Tamandua tetradactyla: one gene and its partner. Each later gene encodes a partner of the first gene's protein in a complex. Links are inferred from orthologs where the notes say so. Each region holds a gene or a part of one and is shown in the gene's direction. Other genes may lie near its edges.

Evidence for each region. The genes of interacting proteins can lie anywhere in the genome.
Region 2: the proteins of LAGE3 (region 1) and GON7 are in contact, whole or in part, in a crystal structure (PDB 6GWJ), measured with the Homo sapiens proteins. The link is inferred for Tamandua tetradactyla from reciprocal best matches to the Homo sapiens genes LAGE3 and GON7. Residues at the interface, in NP_006005.2 of Homo sapiens: Pro60, His61, Ile62, Phe63, Thr64, Leu65, Ser66, Val67, Pro68, Phe69, Pro70, Glu74, Arg102, Ile103, Glu111, Cys113, Leu116, Arg117, Val120, Ile121, Leu124, Asp125, Leu127, Ser128, Val131, Arg132, Met134, Gln135; in NP_115879.2 of Homo sapiens: Met1, Glu2, Leu3, Leu4, Gly5, Glu6, Tyr7, Val8, Gly9, Gln10, Leu17, Asp28, Pro29, Phe30, Gln31, Leu33, Leu34, Val37, Met40, Lys41, Val44, Thr45, Leu47, Phe48, Asp49.

The regions. Positions count from the first base shown.
Region 1 is NC_135353.1:6,783,735-6,791,067, reverse strand, and holds LAGE3 (EKC/KEOPS complex subunit LAGE3), read left to right. Parts: upstream 1-4,777; coding exon 4,778-4,950; intron 4,951-5,373; coding exon 5,374-5,502; intron 5,503-5,754; coding exon 5,755-5,869; 3' UTR 5,870-6,820; downstream 6,821-7,333. UniProt on the Homo sapiens protein: Component of the EKC/KEOPS complex that is required for the formation of a threonylcarbamoyl group on adenosine at position 37 (t(6)A37) in tRNAs that read codons beginning with adenine.
Region 2 is NC_135346.1:53,342,506-53,350,445, reverse strand, and holds the start of GON7 (EKC/KEOPS complex subunit GON7), read left to right. Parts: upstream 1-4,940; coding exon 4,941-4,959; intron 4,960-7,940. UniProt on the Homo sapiens protein: Component of the EKC/KEOPS complex that is required for the formation of a threonylcarbamoyl group on adenosine at position 37 (t(6)A37) in tRNAs that read codons beginning with adenine.

The DNA.
Region 1 (7,333 bases):
TCTTGACATATCCATAAGTTTTTCACATACAAACTGCTGTGTCAGATTTTTCAGCTGTCTACCAACCCGTATCATATTGTCTCTGTGTGGTCCTACCAAAACTGTCCATTCAGACCCCTTTGTTTGCCTTTGCAAACGTCCGAAATTGTCAAGTCTCAGCTTCCAAAAGTCCTAGTTCCATTTACAGGACATATATGTGATGACTCTTTAATGGAAATTTTGATAATAAGGTCTAGATTGTATGTAGGTATGAAGGGAATTTTTAAAATACAACAAAAATTAAGCTACAAACAGCATTAGAACTTTGTCTATTTTTAAATTTTAAAATATGCTGATATGCCTTAAACTAGCTATAGATCATTGTCATTTTGCTGTTTGAAAATAGCCGATATGTTTTCTAAAACTTGTGTAATCTACTTTCAATGTTAATGCAGAATTATCATATATGTAAGCTGCATGTTAGACCACTTGTTTTTTTTAAGAAAACTAAAATAATTGTATTGATGTGAGGCATATCACTTTTTCAAGTATGAAAGTAATCACTCAGCAACCATGCTTGGCAATTTGGTGTCTGTTAAGATAGGAGAGTAATGGACAGGTAATCTATGCATATATCAACAGTGCCAAGACATCAAGAGGGGGGAATATATTTTTACCCAAACATTAAAACAAAAAAACAAGAGTCCCTGGGGGTCAATATATCCTAAAGTAATTCTGGCAGAGAATAAAAAGAAAATTTTGCAAACTCCTCTTGGGGGACTGGGGAGAAAGGAGAAAATATTATACTTTCCCATCTGGGGAATTCCTGATATTCTCACAAGCAGTGGGGACAACCAATTCAACAGGCTGAGCCCTCAATCTTGGGGCTTGGCCCTATGAAGCATATTCCTGCAAAGGACAAGCTAAGCCTACTGAGAATTATGCTGAAAAATCATCCCAAGAGAGCCTCTATTGTTGCTCTGATGTGGCCTCTCTCTCTCTAAGTCAACTTGGCAGATGAACCCACTATCCTGCCCTCTACGTGACTCCCAGGGGTGTAAATCTCCCTGGCAAAGTGGGACAGAGCTCCCAGGATGAGCTGGGACCTGGCTTCATGGGACTGAGAAAGCCTTGTTGACCAAAACAGGGAAGAGAGAACTGAGACAAAGTTTCCACGGCTAAGCAATTTCAAACAGAGTTGAGAGGTTATCCTGGAGGTTATTCTTATGAGTTATATAGACATCCCTTTTTAGTTTATGGTGCATTGGAGTAGCTAGAGGGAAGTACCTGAAAGTGTTGAATTGTGTTCCGGTAGTCTTGATTTTTTTTTCCAATTTATTTACATATTGATGTAATGGTATACAGCAGAGTTGAATAGTTGTGATAGAGAATACACAGCCCACGAAGCCTAAATTATTTACTATCTAGACTTTACAGAAAAAAATTGCTGACCCATTATAGAGTTCTCTTCATAACCCTATATGAGGATTTCACTATGACATATTTACAGAAGCTGAATTGCTGACTTATAAGGTGAGAGAATTTGCAACTTTTCCCCTATGTAGCCCAATTGGCCTCCAGTTGATTATTCCAATTGACACTACCACAAGCAATGTATGAGAATTATTGTCGATTTACTCACTAACACTTGATATTATCATACTCTTAAATTTTTGCCAATCTGCTTGGTGTGAAATGGCATCTTTTTTGAAATATTTTTATTGAGAAATTTTCACACGCATACATTCCATATATGGTGTACAATCAATGGCTCACAATATCATCACATAGTTTTGTACTCATCACCATAATCATTTTTTAGAACATTTGCATCACTCTAGAAAAAGAAAAATAAAGTCATCATACCATACCCCTTACCCCTCCTTCTCATTGACCACTAGTATCTCCAACTACCCAATTTATTGTACCCTTTGTACCCTCTATTATTTATTTTTATCCATATTTTTTTTTACTCATCTGCCCATACCCTGGATAAAAGGAGCATCACACACAAGGTTTTTGCAATCACAGAGTCCCATTGTAAAAGTTATATCTTTATACAGTCATCTTCAAGAATCAAGGCTACTGGAATACAGCTCAAGTTTCAAGTACTTCCCTCCAGCCACTCCAATACACCACAAACTAAGAAAGGGTTATCTATATAATGCATAAGAATAGCCGCCAGGATAACCTCTTGGCTCTGTTTGAAATCTCTCAGCATCTGAAGCACTTCCCAAAATATAAATTTTGCACTAAATAAACATCTCTCCCTTTAGTCTCACACAGAAGTTGAAGTTTTAACATATGGCTGATATCATCCTTTACCCTGTATTCTGAGTTACCTTAGTCCTAACAAGATCAGCTCAAAGTCTGGTCACTTTTTCAACTTTTTAAACAGTTCTTGCGTGGGGTACTGCAAGTAGCCTTGATTCCTGAAGACGATTGTATAACCATATAGCCTTTACCATGTGACCATGTGATTGTGAAAAACTTGTATTTGATGCTCCTTTTATCTAGGGTATGGACAGATGAGTTAAAAAAAGGATAATAAATAATAGGGGGGGATAGAGGGTAAAAAATGGGTGGATTGAAATACTGGAGATCAGTGAGAGGGAGGGGTAAGAGGTATGGAATGTATGAATTCTTTTTTTTTTTCCTTCTTTATTTCTTTTTCTGGAGTGGCGTAAATGTTCTAAAAATGATCATGGTGAAGAATACACAACTATGTGATGATATTGTGAGCCACTGATTGTATAATATAATTGGACTGTACGTGTGGATATTTCTCAATAAAAATATTTTTTAAATAAAAATTAAATTACATTTTTAAAAAAGAGTGCCTGGGGGGATTGTATTAGATTAGTGAGCACGAAGGCTGCTCAGAGGTGACACTGAAGCTGATATCCTAAGGACAAGGAGCCAGCCATGGGACAGTTTGGAGACAATTTTCCAAACAGAAGTGTAAGGGCAAGGGGCAGTGTGTTCATTTGCAAGCTGCCAGAATGCAATATGCCAGAACTGGAATGACTTTTAAAAAGGGGAATTTAATGCGTTGCAAGTTTAAGAAAGTGAAAGTATCCAAATTCAGGCAACAACAAGAGGTTACCCTCACTCAAGAAAGGCCAATGAGTCAGGAACAGCTCTGTCAGCTGGGAAGTCACATGGCTGGCATCTGCTGGTCCCTTGCTCCTGAGCTCCTGTTGCTTTCAGCCTCTGTTCCTGTGGGGTTTCCTCACTTTGCTTCTCTGGGGCTGGCTTTCATCTCTTGGCTTCCCTTGGCTCTCTCCAGGTTCTGGCTTGCTTCACATCTCATGGTGATGTCTGCTGGACTCCAAGCATCTCCTAACATCTATATGTCTGCCCACCACGTTTCTGCATCTGTGTCACCTCTGCTGGCAAATTTCTGTTGGCTCTGAGGCTTCCATCTTTCTTGCTCTCTCTCTCTCCAAAATGTTTCCTCTTTTAAAGGATTCCAGTAAACTAATCTAGACAGAACTGGAACAGATGGAGTCACATTTCCCTCTATTCAAAAGTCATCCCCAGAACTGGATGTGTCCCATCTCTGTGGAGATAATCTAATCCAATATTACCAACTACAGTTTTGAATCAGGATTAAAAGAAACTGCTGCTCCCACAAGACTGAATCAGGAATAAAATATGGCTTTTCTGGGGTACATAATATTTTCAATCCGGCACGGGCAGGAACAGGTCAACCTCCGTCAGGGTCAGAGCAAGGGCCCAGGAGGCTGCGGAGACTTTAGGAGTAGGCAAGTAGGGAAAGAGGCTGGAGAAGGAGCTGGGAGTCACATCACCTTGGACTTTTATAAGCCCCATCAAAGGGTTTGGATTTGATTCCTAGGGCAATGGGAAATCGTTTTAGGGTTTTAAGCAGGGATATGACAGGATGTGATTCACATTAAAAAGTAAAACCTCATTCTACTGTGCGGAGAATAGGAGGTAGGACCAACAAGGGAAGAGATGGCGACTGGCACTGGCATCTCTCAGTGGGGAGGAGACGAGTGGGCTGATTGCAGATCTATTTTTTAGAGAGATCCAACGGGATATGCCAATACAGCTTGGCTGCAGGTCCTTCGTTTTGATCGCAAGGAGGAAAACAGAAAACTACCACTTACAATCACCATTGGAAAGTTCTTGTCAGTCTAAGTATTCTGTCACTCTGTCATAGAAGCTAACTGTAAAAAAAATTGGGAGGCCAAAAATCACGAAAAGCAAACTAAAATCACCCATAAATCCCATCAGGCTGCGAAAATGGCTGTTCACACTTTGCTGTAGTTTTCCAGGTTTCTACGCGGATATATGGTCATTTGCTACACTGGGATTATATTGATGCTTGCTCTGCCTTCCGCTTTTGACTTCGGGGTATCAGCCAGATGCCCGCGACCACCACTTCAGCTCAGGCCCCTGGGCAGGCCTCACGTCCCCGCGGCCCTCTCGACCACCCATCTCGTCGGTTCGCTGGCCCCCTTTAAGGCCCCCTGTGGTGTCCCCACATACTTCGGCGACGGGGACGGGATGCACGACGTCAACCTCTGGGGGGGACCCACCGGACAGCCCCCCACACATCGCGCCATCCGCGCCACGCAAAGCCCCGCAGGGCAGCCGCACCCGGGCTGAGAGCGCGGCCCGACCCCGGCCCGGCGCCGGGCAGGAGCCTGTCTGCGCAGGCGCCCAGAGATGATGTCACGGGGCAGGGGGCGGGGCCTGGCGCTGGAGCCGCAGCATGAGGCGCAGGGGGAGGGGGAGAGGGAGGGGGAGGCGGCGGCGGCGGCGGGCGACCATGCAGGCGGAAGACGCAGGCGCAAGTGGCCCCGGGGGCCGCGAGGGCGCGGGCTCCTCGGGGGGCCGCCCGGTCGGTGACGCGTCTCGGGTCGCGCGGACACCGCACGCCCCAGGGCCGGGTGGAGACGCCACGCCCGCGGTCACCGGGCCGGGAAGCCCAGTACACCGATTGTATCCTAGCCGACGGGGCGGGCCTGGGATGGGGATGGGGCGTGAGCGGCAGGGACGGCACGGGGTCCTGGGGGGTGGGTGACGGGGGGAAGGACAGGGGGGCGGGAGGCGGGGAGAAGGGAAGGAGAGCAGGGGTTTAACGCGGGAGGCGACGGAAAGGGGAGCCTGGGGTAGGGGGGGAGGACGGCGAAACGGGGGGGAGGGATCGAAAAGGGGAGCCGCTTGGGTCGGTGGACGCCGGGGGAGTTGGGGCCCCAGGGGAGGAGGGGAAGGCCTGAGGCGGGTGGGGGCGGGAGAAGCAGGCTCAATCGGGGTGAACTAATGGGGTGACCGGGCCGGGCGCCAGTTCTGGCCTTGAGCGGCAGGAGGCGAGGCGCAGGCTAAGTCAGTGGAGGATGGTGCCTTAACCGGATCCCCTGCCAGCTCCCTCAGTGTCCCTTTCCCGTCCCGCAGGGAGGCGGAGATCGCCTGCGGCTCCCTGGCCCCGGATGCCGAACCCCACCGGGAGGCGATTGAGAAGCAGCTCACTGTGGCTGGCAGCGCCCTGGCCGTGTCAGTTCTAGAAGGGGCGCGGGTGGGAGCTGCTCCTTAGGGCCAGTCCCTGCCTTGGGGTGCTGTAATGGGGTCAGAGAGATCCCCTCAGGGGAAGTCTGAGGAAGGGGGCGTGGCGCAGTGGGCCTGTCCCCACCTGAGGGGGTGCTCTGATGGAGCCACTAAATGGTCAGGTGGCAGGGGGTCTGAGGGTGCCGGGTGGAAGGTGAAGTTGCCACCTTGAACTGGACTTGCCTTTTCCATCCCTCACAGCCAGTGGACTGCCGGTGACCCCCGCCTCCTCCGAATTTCCATCCTGAACTTTCTGGACCAGCTTTCCCTGGTGGTGCGGACAATGCAGCGCTTCGGGCCCCCCGTTTCACGCTAGGCCTGGGGCCTGACCTGGTGTCCCCTCCTGGGCAGTATGCCCTTCCCCCCGGGGCCTTGATTCCTAGAGTAGTTGCCACTTTACCATAAGGGCCTGATTTGGGGGGCATACTGGCCCTAGGATGCTGGGGTCCCACTTGGTTTATTTGGTGCTTAAATGTTTTCACCAACAGAAAATAAAAACAAGCTACTCTTTCCTGTCACAACAGTATTTTTTTTCAGCTGCTGAACCTGCAGATTTTCATGCCTTTGGTCTGGGATTGCAACGAGGGAAGGGTCTGCGATGCAGATATTCAAGTATAATTTTTGGCCAAGTCTAGTGTTAAATTTATTTTCCTGATTTTTTTTTTTTCATTTAACGTGAACTTTTCTGCTTCCTAAAAATCCTGCGAAAACCTGTTCTGTGTATCAAAGAAGTATTTTAATGAAATTGTTGCCCACTTAAATCATTTCCAATTTTCCCTATGATATGTAACGATTCAGTAGGATGCTTATATATGAGTTTTTGCATGAATAGTTATTTCCTTACGATAGATTAAAAAAAAAAAAAACCCAGGAGGTAGAATTACTGAGTTAAATATTTTCTATTTATGGTACAAAATTGTTGTCAAGAAATTGTGCCCTTCTGGTTTCTCCACATCCTTTGTCACCAGAAGTCTGCTTAATGCCAAAATAAAATACTTAGTTCGTATGAGAAGAGCAAACAGCCCAGAAACACTAAATTAGGATTTTTTTGTGGCTTACTGGCCTTGCTTCAGATCAGTGAAGAAAAGTGTTAGGACAATTCCTTAAGGGTTGGGGGAAGGAGCTCAGATCCCTCTAAAATACCTGCATTCTACAACCTTGCTAAATACACTTAATAATTTTAGTGGCTCTTTTGTAGATTTCATAGGATTTTCTACATAAGCAATCACATTTTCCTTCAATAAAGGCATTTTTACTCCCTTTCCAATCCAGATGTCTTTTGTTGATTGATGTCTTTCCTCATTGAGGCTTGGCGTTTCCTGCTTCTTTGCATGCCTAGTAATTTTGGATTGGATGCCAAACATCATGTATTTTACCTTGGGTGCTGGATATTTTTGCATTTCTAAACGTATTCCATGAACTTTTTTCTGGGATGCCAAGGTGCTTGGAAAAAGTTTTAACCTTTCCATTCCTGCTTGTAGATTTGCTCGGTGGTACGAGAGCTGCTTTTAGGGAAAGTGATGGTGAAAATGATGATGAATCTCACCTGAGTGTGGCAGGTGTAGTTGCTACAGTGAGGATATGATTCTCTCCTTCTCTCTCTCCACCTCTTCCTTTTTTAATTCATCATTTTTAGATATTAGCCATTGATGGACAGATGCCGATTAAGCTTTTTGACTCCACCATCTGCTCTGCTTCCTCTCAATGTGGTTGTGGTTCTATTACATTCTATCCATTTCTTAGGATTTCTTTTTTCCCTAAGATTAAAAACTGCCTTCAG
Region 2 (7,940 bases), on another chromosome or scaffold:
ATTTGCCAAGCAATTGATGGGGTCTAAGGATTCTGTTACCTTAGAAAAGTGCGACTTAGAGAGGGCCTGGACTTTATTTGTATTCCATCTCTGTCACTGGCTAGCTGTGTGACCTTAGGAAAATGAACCTTTCCTGAGGTGTGGTTTCATTTTCGGTTAAAATAAGAAAACATAGGAATTGCTCTGAGTTATTGGGACGATTATAAAAGACATATGGGAAAGGTCCTTGCAGAAGCTTGTCTCTCAGCAAGTGCTTGCCATTCTGATTTTCCCAAGTATAGTGACCATATTTTGTGAAGCAAAAATAAAACAGATGGTGTAGAAAAGGTTTAATGTTTTTCCCCTGCATTGTAGATAATATTTATTTGTGAAGCTTTACAGAGCCCTACATTCAGTAGCTTTTAGCAATTTTTTTGAGGAAATGATGAAATCCTACAGAATCAGCATTGTATTGGAAAATCTGGGAGGTACTGTTAAAATTACTAAGAATTACCAATTTAACATAATTAGACTTGTGCTAAGCCCTCTTTTAAGTATCCTGGAGGAAAGACTGGCCATTAGTTGATATTTGCATTGAGTCTTGTAAGTTATATTTGAGTGATTTAGTTTAACCTGAGAAATGATGGTTTTTGAATTCTTATTCTTGTTTTAGCAAAGCTGATGAATTCAAACCTTAACAGAATAAGCAGTGAATATTGATATGAGATTTCCTCCTGAGTTTTATTGTTGTGTTCACTGAATTAGTTGACAAAGGGGGACAAAACCTGTTGGTCAAGTGTGTGCATGTTACCTTCTATCAAGTTTCTGCTGATCACAATTGCCTAACAGGAAGTTTGTCTTTGTAGGCAAATGAGGCAGACCAGGAAGACCTGGTAATCCAGTAGGATATCTCTAGCCTATAGTGTATTATTGTTCTTTAACAAAACTCAAAGATTGCAGAGTTCTGTGATGTCAGCAGGAAGTTTTTTAGGAAATTCCCTTTCAGGGTTAGTCAACAATGAAAACCTTAACAGAATGGAAAACTGTGAAGTAGTAACAGTGGACACTAACATGAAAAATTGAAAGAAAAGTTTTATTGTGAGATGTGCAAATGTAAGTGTAATGAATGTAGAGAACCATTTTCTAATAGCCTCCGATGCAGTTGAAAAAGAAAAATCAAGTGAGGGCTGTACTCTTAAGAAAAAGGAACTTGAGTATTTATTTATTTAGGGTTAAATTGAGATCATTTAACTGTCTTGGGAACCAGTAATAAAATATCTTTTGTTCTGTGAAATGACACTCCTAGTCGGATATCTATTAATTTTTGTGTGTCTCTAGCTTAAGGCCTACCACATATTAGCTATTCCATAAGTGTTTATTTGAAGTGAAGGTTGAAAATTAGAGCCACTAGTACAGGAAAAGGGCCTAAGGATTTAAGAGGTCCAGATGTGGGTCCATTAGTTAAGTTGTTGCATTTTATTATAACTTGTTTTGCATTTTGGCTGTAAGAGAAAGTTAGCCATTGAAAAGTAGAATATTGCTTTAGCAGTTAAGTAGTAGACACAGCTCACTTGCTACTTTTGGCAAAATTGGGTTTACTCTTAGGCGCCAGAGTAATAGCACTTAATGGGAAAATCTTGAGCACTCATTATTTGCTTGAGATTTTACTTACATGATTGCTGAAGTTGCGGGTGTTTAAATATTACCATCTAGTTGTTGTGGTAAGGTCAATCATCATAGGCTGGTATTTTAGTCACTTCAGTTGCTTTACCTACAACATGAAAAACCAGAGAGCATCTTTAGTCATTGCCTATGTATTACCAAATTTTGGAATTTAAAAATTACCCAGTTGGTTTCAGTTGTATTTTAGATTGTCATGGACACAATCTTTGTTGTTAAATACAAAGAGTACTTAAGTATCATTGCAGTGTGTTTCATTGTAACGTTAGTATTGTAGACCTTAGAATTGCATGGCTCTTTGTTAGTGAAGTACTTTAAGCCAGATGTACAAAGTTAGCTCTTTAAGAATGGCTGAACTTTTCAGTTGTGTTGTAGTTCAGCCAGGTTGAAATAGGTACTTCAGTAGGTATTTTTGTAGTTCTCCATTCCAATGTTGATTAACCTGGGACCTTTCAGAGAAAAGCTTGGTTTTTTTTTTTCTGACCCAGGAATCATGCGTGCCTTTTCTGACTTGATTCTTGAGTTTGGAGGTAGTAGTGATCTGTGAAAAGGGCTTTTTGGGCTCCTCTACCACCTCGTAGATGTGGGACTTTGAGCAAGCTATTTTTTGCCTTCTATTTTCTTTTGAGAATTAATAGGAGTAGTGGATGTAAAGGGCCTGGTTAATTAGTATTTTAGTAGTCTTCAGTAAAGGTAGACATTATTATAATTATTGCCGGGCATTTTGGCCGTAGTGTGTAATAGAGGAAGTAGCAAATTAATGTGTAAATAAGTTCACAGTCTTTTTATATAAAATTTTCCAATTTATATGTCTGTTGAATGCTTTTTTTCCTTTTCCTTACTGTTTAGAATTTTACGAATTATAAAATTTGGCATGGCAGAAAATGTGGATTTATTGTGGACTGTGTTTATGTATTTAAAGGTGTCTCCTAGTAAAATTAGTGTTTTTTATTATTTTCCCTGGTTTACCTAGTGACTGGCTATTGTAGGGGATTGGCCTTTATTGAATCTGAAGTTCTCTCGAGTATTATATCAGGTGTTTCAAGATGTCCTATATTTCATCTCAGGGGAGAGGATTTGGATAGTATGTAGAAGTGAAGTTTTGTATGTAGCAAACTAAAAGATTTCATTAAGTATTTCTTGTTAGGTGTTTATTTAAATAGCATAAATATCTCTTTTGGTAGACTTTTGAGTACTCCCATATTAATTTTGGCTGACAAACTATTTTTGAAATAGTGGAGGAGTTTTCTTAGGAAATGGAAAAGGAAGTTCATTGTAGGTAAATGGTCTGGGACAGTTTATATGGATGGTAGGGTAAGTTTTTAGCTTCTCTCATTTGGAAATTGCATGTTATTTATTATGAGTAAATGTTAATATTAGGGATGTTTCATTCTTTGCTGTGCAGGTTTTCCTGTCCTCTCAACATAGAGGTGAGGAATATGAACACAGAACTTTTATGCCAAGTGGTTGACTCAGGGATTGTAACTTCTTTTCTGTGCCTCAGATCCACCATTCCTCAGACCCTTCCATTTCTTGGTGGCTGTCCTTTGCCGCTGGTGCCATGGTGGGTGTATGGATTGCTTTCTGTCTTTCAACAGTTGCCGAAGTGCATGTTTGGGATTTTGTTGAAGAAAGCTGGATACAGTAAACGGAAAGAATCTTGGAAGATGCTTGACTGCTGTCTTTTCTCAGACTAGTCTGAAAGGGAATACACCCATTCATTCTGGATTGGTGGATCTGAAGTACAAAATATTTTCCAGGTAAGCATTTACCCTGTACCGTAATGCTTGTGGAACTTAGCTCACTGAGAAGAAACTTAAAAGTTCTTTTCTTTTCCGTTAATAGGGAAAGGAAAAAATCTTAGATATTTGTGCCTAGTGTTCATGTTTGGGTGTGGAGTTGTGAAGGTGTACGTGGCAGATTTGCTGGTACACACTTTGTTTCAGTGTAGGAGTAAAGTTATTTTTTATAGTAGGCTCAAATGGTTTATAGACATAGTCTAATAGGGGATACAGTAAAATGGATATTTTATTTGGGAAATATCTTATAAAATATGGAAAACATCTTGTAATTTTGAGGCACTATCGCACATTATTTATAGTTGATATCTGGCCAAAATTTATAGTTGCTATCTGATCAAGACTACTAGCATATAGAGTAGTAGGCTTTTATTCTTAGGACTCTTAGAGGGTCTTTTCAGAAAGATTTACTGATGGTATGTCGCACCCATTTATTGAACATCTGCTATGTGCTAGACACTGTTGTAGGCCCTTTACATGTATTTCATATTTAATTGGCAAAATGCTTTACCTGCATTTTAGAGATGAGTGAAATGAATCTCATAAGCGTTAAGTTGCCCAGGGCCGTACATTTGAGTAAAGTTTTAAGCTTGGGTCTGTGTTTTCCTAATGCTCCATACTTTCCATTTTACTACCTATGCTGAAGTTTGTATTTGATCTTCTGGATTTTCAAATTGCCAATCTGCAAGAGCAATATGCAGTTACCTAAAATAGTTTCCACTTGAAGAACACATGCTAGGCCATTGTTTGGCATGGGGTTGACATGGTATAATGTCTGGTGCTCTGCTTAAAATGAAAAATCAGAAGATCTTCAGTCAGTTCATCAAGTGAACATGGAGGTAACTTTGGGAGCACAGGGGAGGTAATGCGTTTGGGTGTCAGTACATGGGAAGTATAATTTGGTGTAGTGAACTTGAACTTGTGTCTTTCAGTTCCTCCTTTGTATTTATTGGTTATTTTAATAGCATAGTAGCTCATTTTGTAGACTTCTTTTGACTTGTGGTTTGCTAGCCTTACTGGTAAGACTTCCTGGCAACTCTTCCTTGAAAACATGACTTTTCCTTGCTATTTAATAATCTTTCCATTTCACCCCCTTCCTTTAATCTTAATTATTTTTTACTTCTTAAATTTTATATCATAGACTAACATTCTGACTTTGTATCCTTGCTTTAACTTAATTCCTTAATATTTGCTAATATTTCTCCTAGTTGAGCATTTTTCATCTGGAGTACTGTCAAAGTGGTGGTAGTGGCAATAGTAGTAGTAGTAGTAGTAGTAGTAGTAAACGATTAAACACCTAATACTTATTGGGCACTTAATCTACCGAATACTATTCTAGGCATTTTATAGGTATAAACTGATTTTATCCTTATAGTAACATGGTGTGATAGGTACTGTTTTTTTCCCACTTTATAGATGAGGAAACTGAAAGATAGATTAGTGAAATAATATGCTTCACGGTCACATATCTAGTAACGGACAATGACGAAATATGAACCAGGCAATCTGGATTCACAGAATGTACTTCTACCCTCTGTGCTATACTGCCTCTAGTTTAGAGTATCATCCAGTAATAGAGGGGCAGAAATTCTGAAGACTTACTATATATTTGGATTTCAAGAAATCAAGGGAAAGGGAATAATTGTTGAATATTTATTTCTTACTTTATTTAGAAAACAAATAGTCTACTTCTCAGGGAGCCATCCAGGGCTATCTATCAGATTGTTTCCCAAGAGGACTCACAGGACTTGTTTAAGGTTATCTTCCAAAACAGTGCTGTCCAATAGAGCTTTCTGTGATGATAGAAATGTGCAGAATTTGCTCTGTTCAATTTGGTAGCCACTAGCCATAGTTACCTACTTTGAAATGTGGCTCCAGGACTGAGGAGTTGAATTTTTAATTTTACTTAATTTAAATAGTCACATGTGATTAGTGGCTAACATATTATAGAGTGCAGTTTTAGAATGTACCATTATCCAAGGTCTGGCCTTGGTTTAGCCCCTTTTGAAATCTGATTTGGTCACTATGGTAAAAGCAGCTCCTTATCTCCCAGGGTTGGACTCACAGTAACTATGCTTACAAGGCTTATATGTAAAACCATAGTGCCAGTTTGTTAATTTGCAGTGATTTATGCCCTGTTGGTATGATTAGTATATTGTTAGCTGATAGGCATATTTGCTTACTAGGTCCTAATTTAAATGCCAGTTTATTAGTATTATTTTTAAAATAAGAAATAGGAGTCAGAGGGGCCTGAATAGTAAAGCCAAATGAATGGACACTTTCTTCGTGTAGGTAGACTTTACCCATCGGGTCAGATTATAAACAGGTGGCTTGGTTAGCATGGACTCAACCAGAAAAGTGAGATATGTGATGGACTGAGACTGAGATCCAAATGGGTGGTTTTTCCCTATGGCAAGACCTCTTCCTTCAGCTTCTCTGCTTGCTTTTGTTTTCCAAATCCCTTTTAGATTAAGGCATTCTTTTTTAAGATGCTTCAGTACAGTGAGCTAGAATGCAGTCTTGACTTGAAGGTCTGGGTGTTCTTTTGATTTCCTCAAGGTGCCTTTATCAGTCCTGTGATCTATTATGTTTTTATTTTCAACTTTAAGAAGGCAGTAGTATTTTTCTTGCTTCCTTGTAGCCTTTTTCTACTGAAAACACATGCATTAGAATCTTTAATTTGGTCACACATATTATCTGCATTTTATCATGTTATTAAAAGGAACTTGTTTTTAGTTTACATTACTTTGGGACTTGTTCTTGCTCCTGTTCTCTCCCCCCCATTTATTTATTTATTTATTTATGTTTTAAATGTTTTTTTGTTGTATTGTATAACATATACAAAGCAAAGAAATAAAAGAGCAATAGTTTTCAAAGCACTCTTTAAAACGTGATTACAGGATAGATCCCAGAGTTTGTCATGGGCTACCATACGGTCCTCTCATATTTTTCCTTCTAGCTGCTGCGGAATATAGGAGGCTAGAGGGTTTAAATACTTTTTTTTTTGTCATCACAATTGACTTTTTTTCCTTCTTTTTTTGTGACCAATAACATATATGCAAAAAAGCTATAAATTTCAAAGCACAGCACCCCAATTAGCTGTAGAATATATTTCAGACTTTGACATGGGTTACAATTTCACAATTTTAGGTTTTTACTTCTAGTTGCTCTAAAATACTGGAGATAAAAGAGATATCAATTTGATGATTCAACATTCATATTCATTTAAGTCCTATCTTCTATGTATAATTCCACCATCACCTTTGATCTTTCCATACCTCTCATTGTGGTTGTTTGGGTTATGGCAATTCTAAATTTTTGATATTGATAGGGTCTGCCACGAATATGGGGTAGGAAGATGAAACTATCTGATGTTCTGGAGAGGCTGGGCTAGGTTTCAGGACTTACCTGGACTAGGGACCCATCTGGAGGTTATAGGTTTCTGTCAGGTTTCTCTAGTGCCTGGAACCCTTGAGGAATCTTATATATTGCCCTAGGTGTTCTTTAGGATTGGCAGGTTATGATAGATAATAAGGTCTACCGGAAGCTTGTGTAAGAGCAACCTCCCAGAGTAGCCTCTCGACTATTTGAGAGAGGCTGTATTTGAACTCTCTCTGCCACTGATACTTTATTAATTACACTTCATTTCCCCCATTTGGTCAGGATGGAATTGTTGATCCCACAGTGCCAGGTCTGGATTCATCCCTGGGAGTCCTCTCCCATGTCACCAGGGAGACTTTCACCCCTGGATGTCATGTCCCATGTAGGGGGGAGGGCAGTGATTTCACTTGCAGAGTTGGGCTTTGCTCCTGTTCTTGATATAGAAAGAGTGACATAAGCAAATCCGTAGTTTAGGAAGGTAGCTTTGGTGGATGTGTACAGTATGAATTGAAGTGATGGAAGGCAGAAAGACCAGTTAGTTCAAGCGAGCAGTGATGAAGATGCACCAAGATATTGACAGTAGGGATGCTGGGAGGGGATGTGTGTGGGGGTGGGTTTAAAAGAGATATAGGTGGTAGTATTTATGAGTTTAGGGATTGGTTAGAGGAGTGGGAGAGGGAAGAATCTAAGAATTTTAGGTTTTGGCTATGGACACTTGGATGGATGTTTGTTCTCTTTTCCCAGTCTTAGTTTCCTAGCTGCTAAAAACAAATATCGTATAATGGTTTGATTTAAATAATGGGAATTTATTGCCTCAGGGTTTTAAGGCTAGGAGAAGTCCAGAATCTAGTTATCAAGAAGGTGATGCTTTCTTTGAACCTATACTCTGGCTTCCTATTAATGTTTTCTTTTTAACCATTTACTTATTTATTTATTTTTACATGGGCAGGCACTGGGAATCAAACCCAGGTCCTCGGGCTTAGCAGGCAAGCATTCTTACCTGCTGAGCCACCGTGGCCCACCCGAAGGTGATGCTTTCTTGCTAAGGACTATGGTGTTCTGGAGCTGGCTACTGACGACGATCCTTGGGTCCTTGCCTTT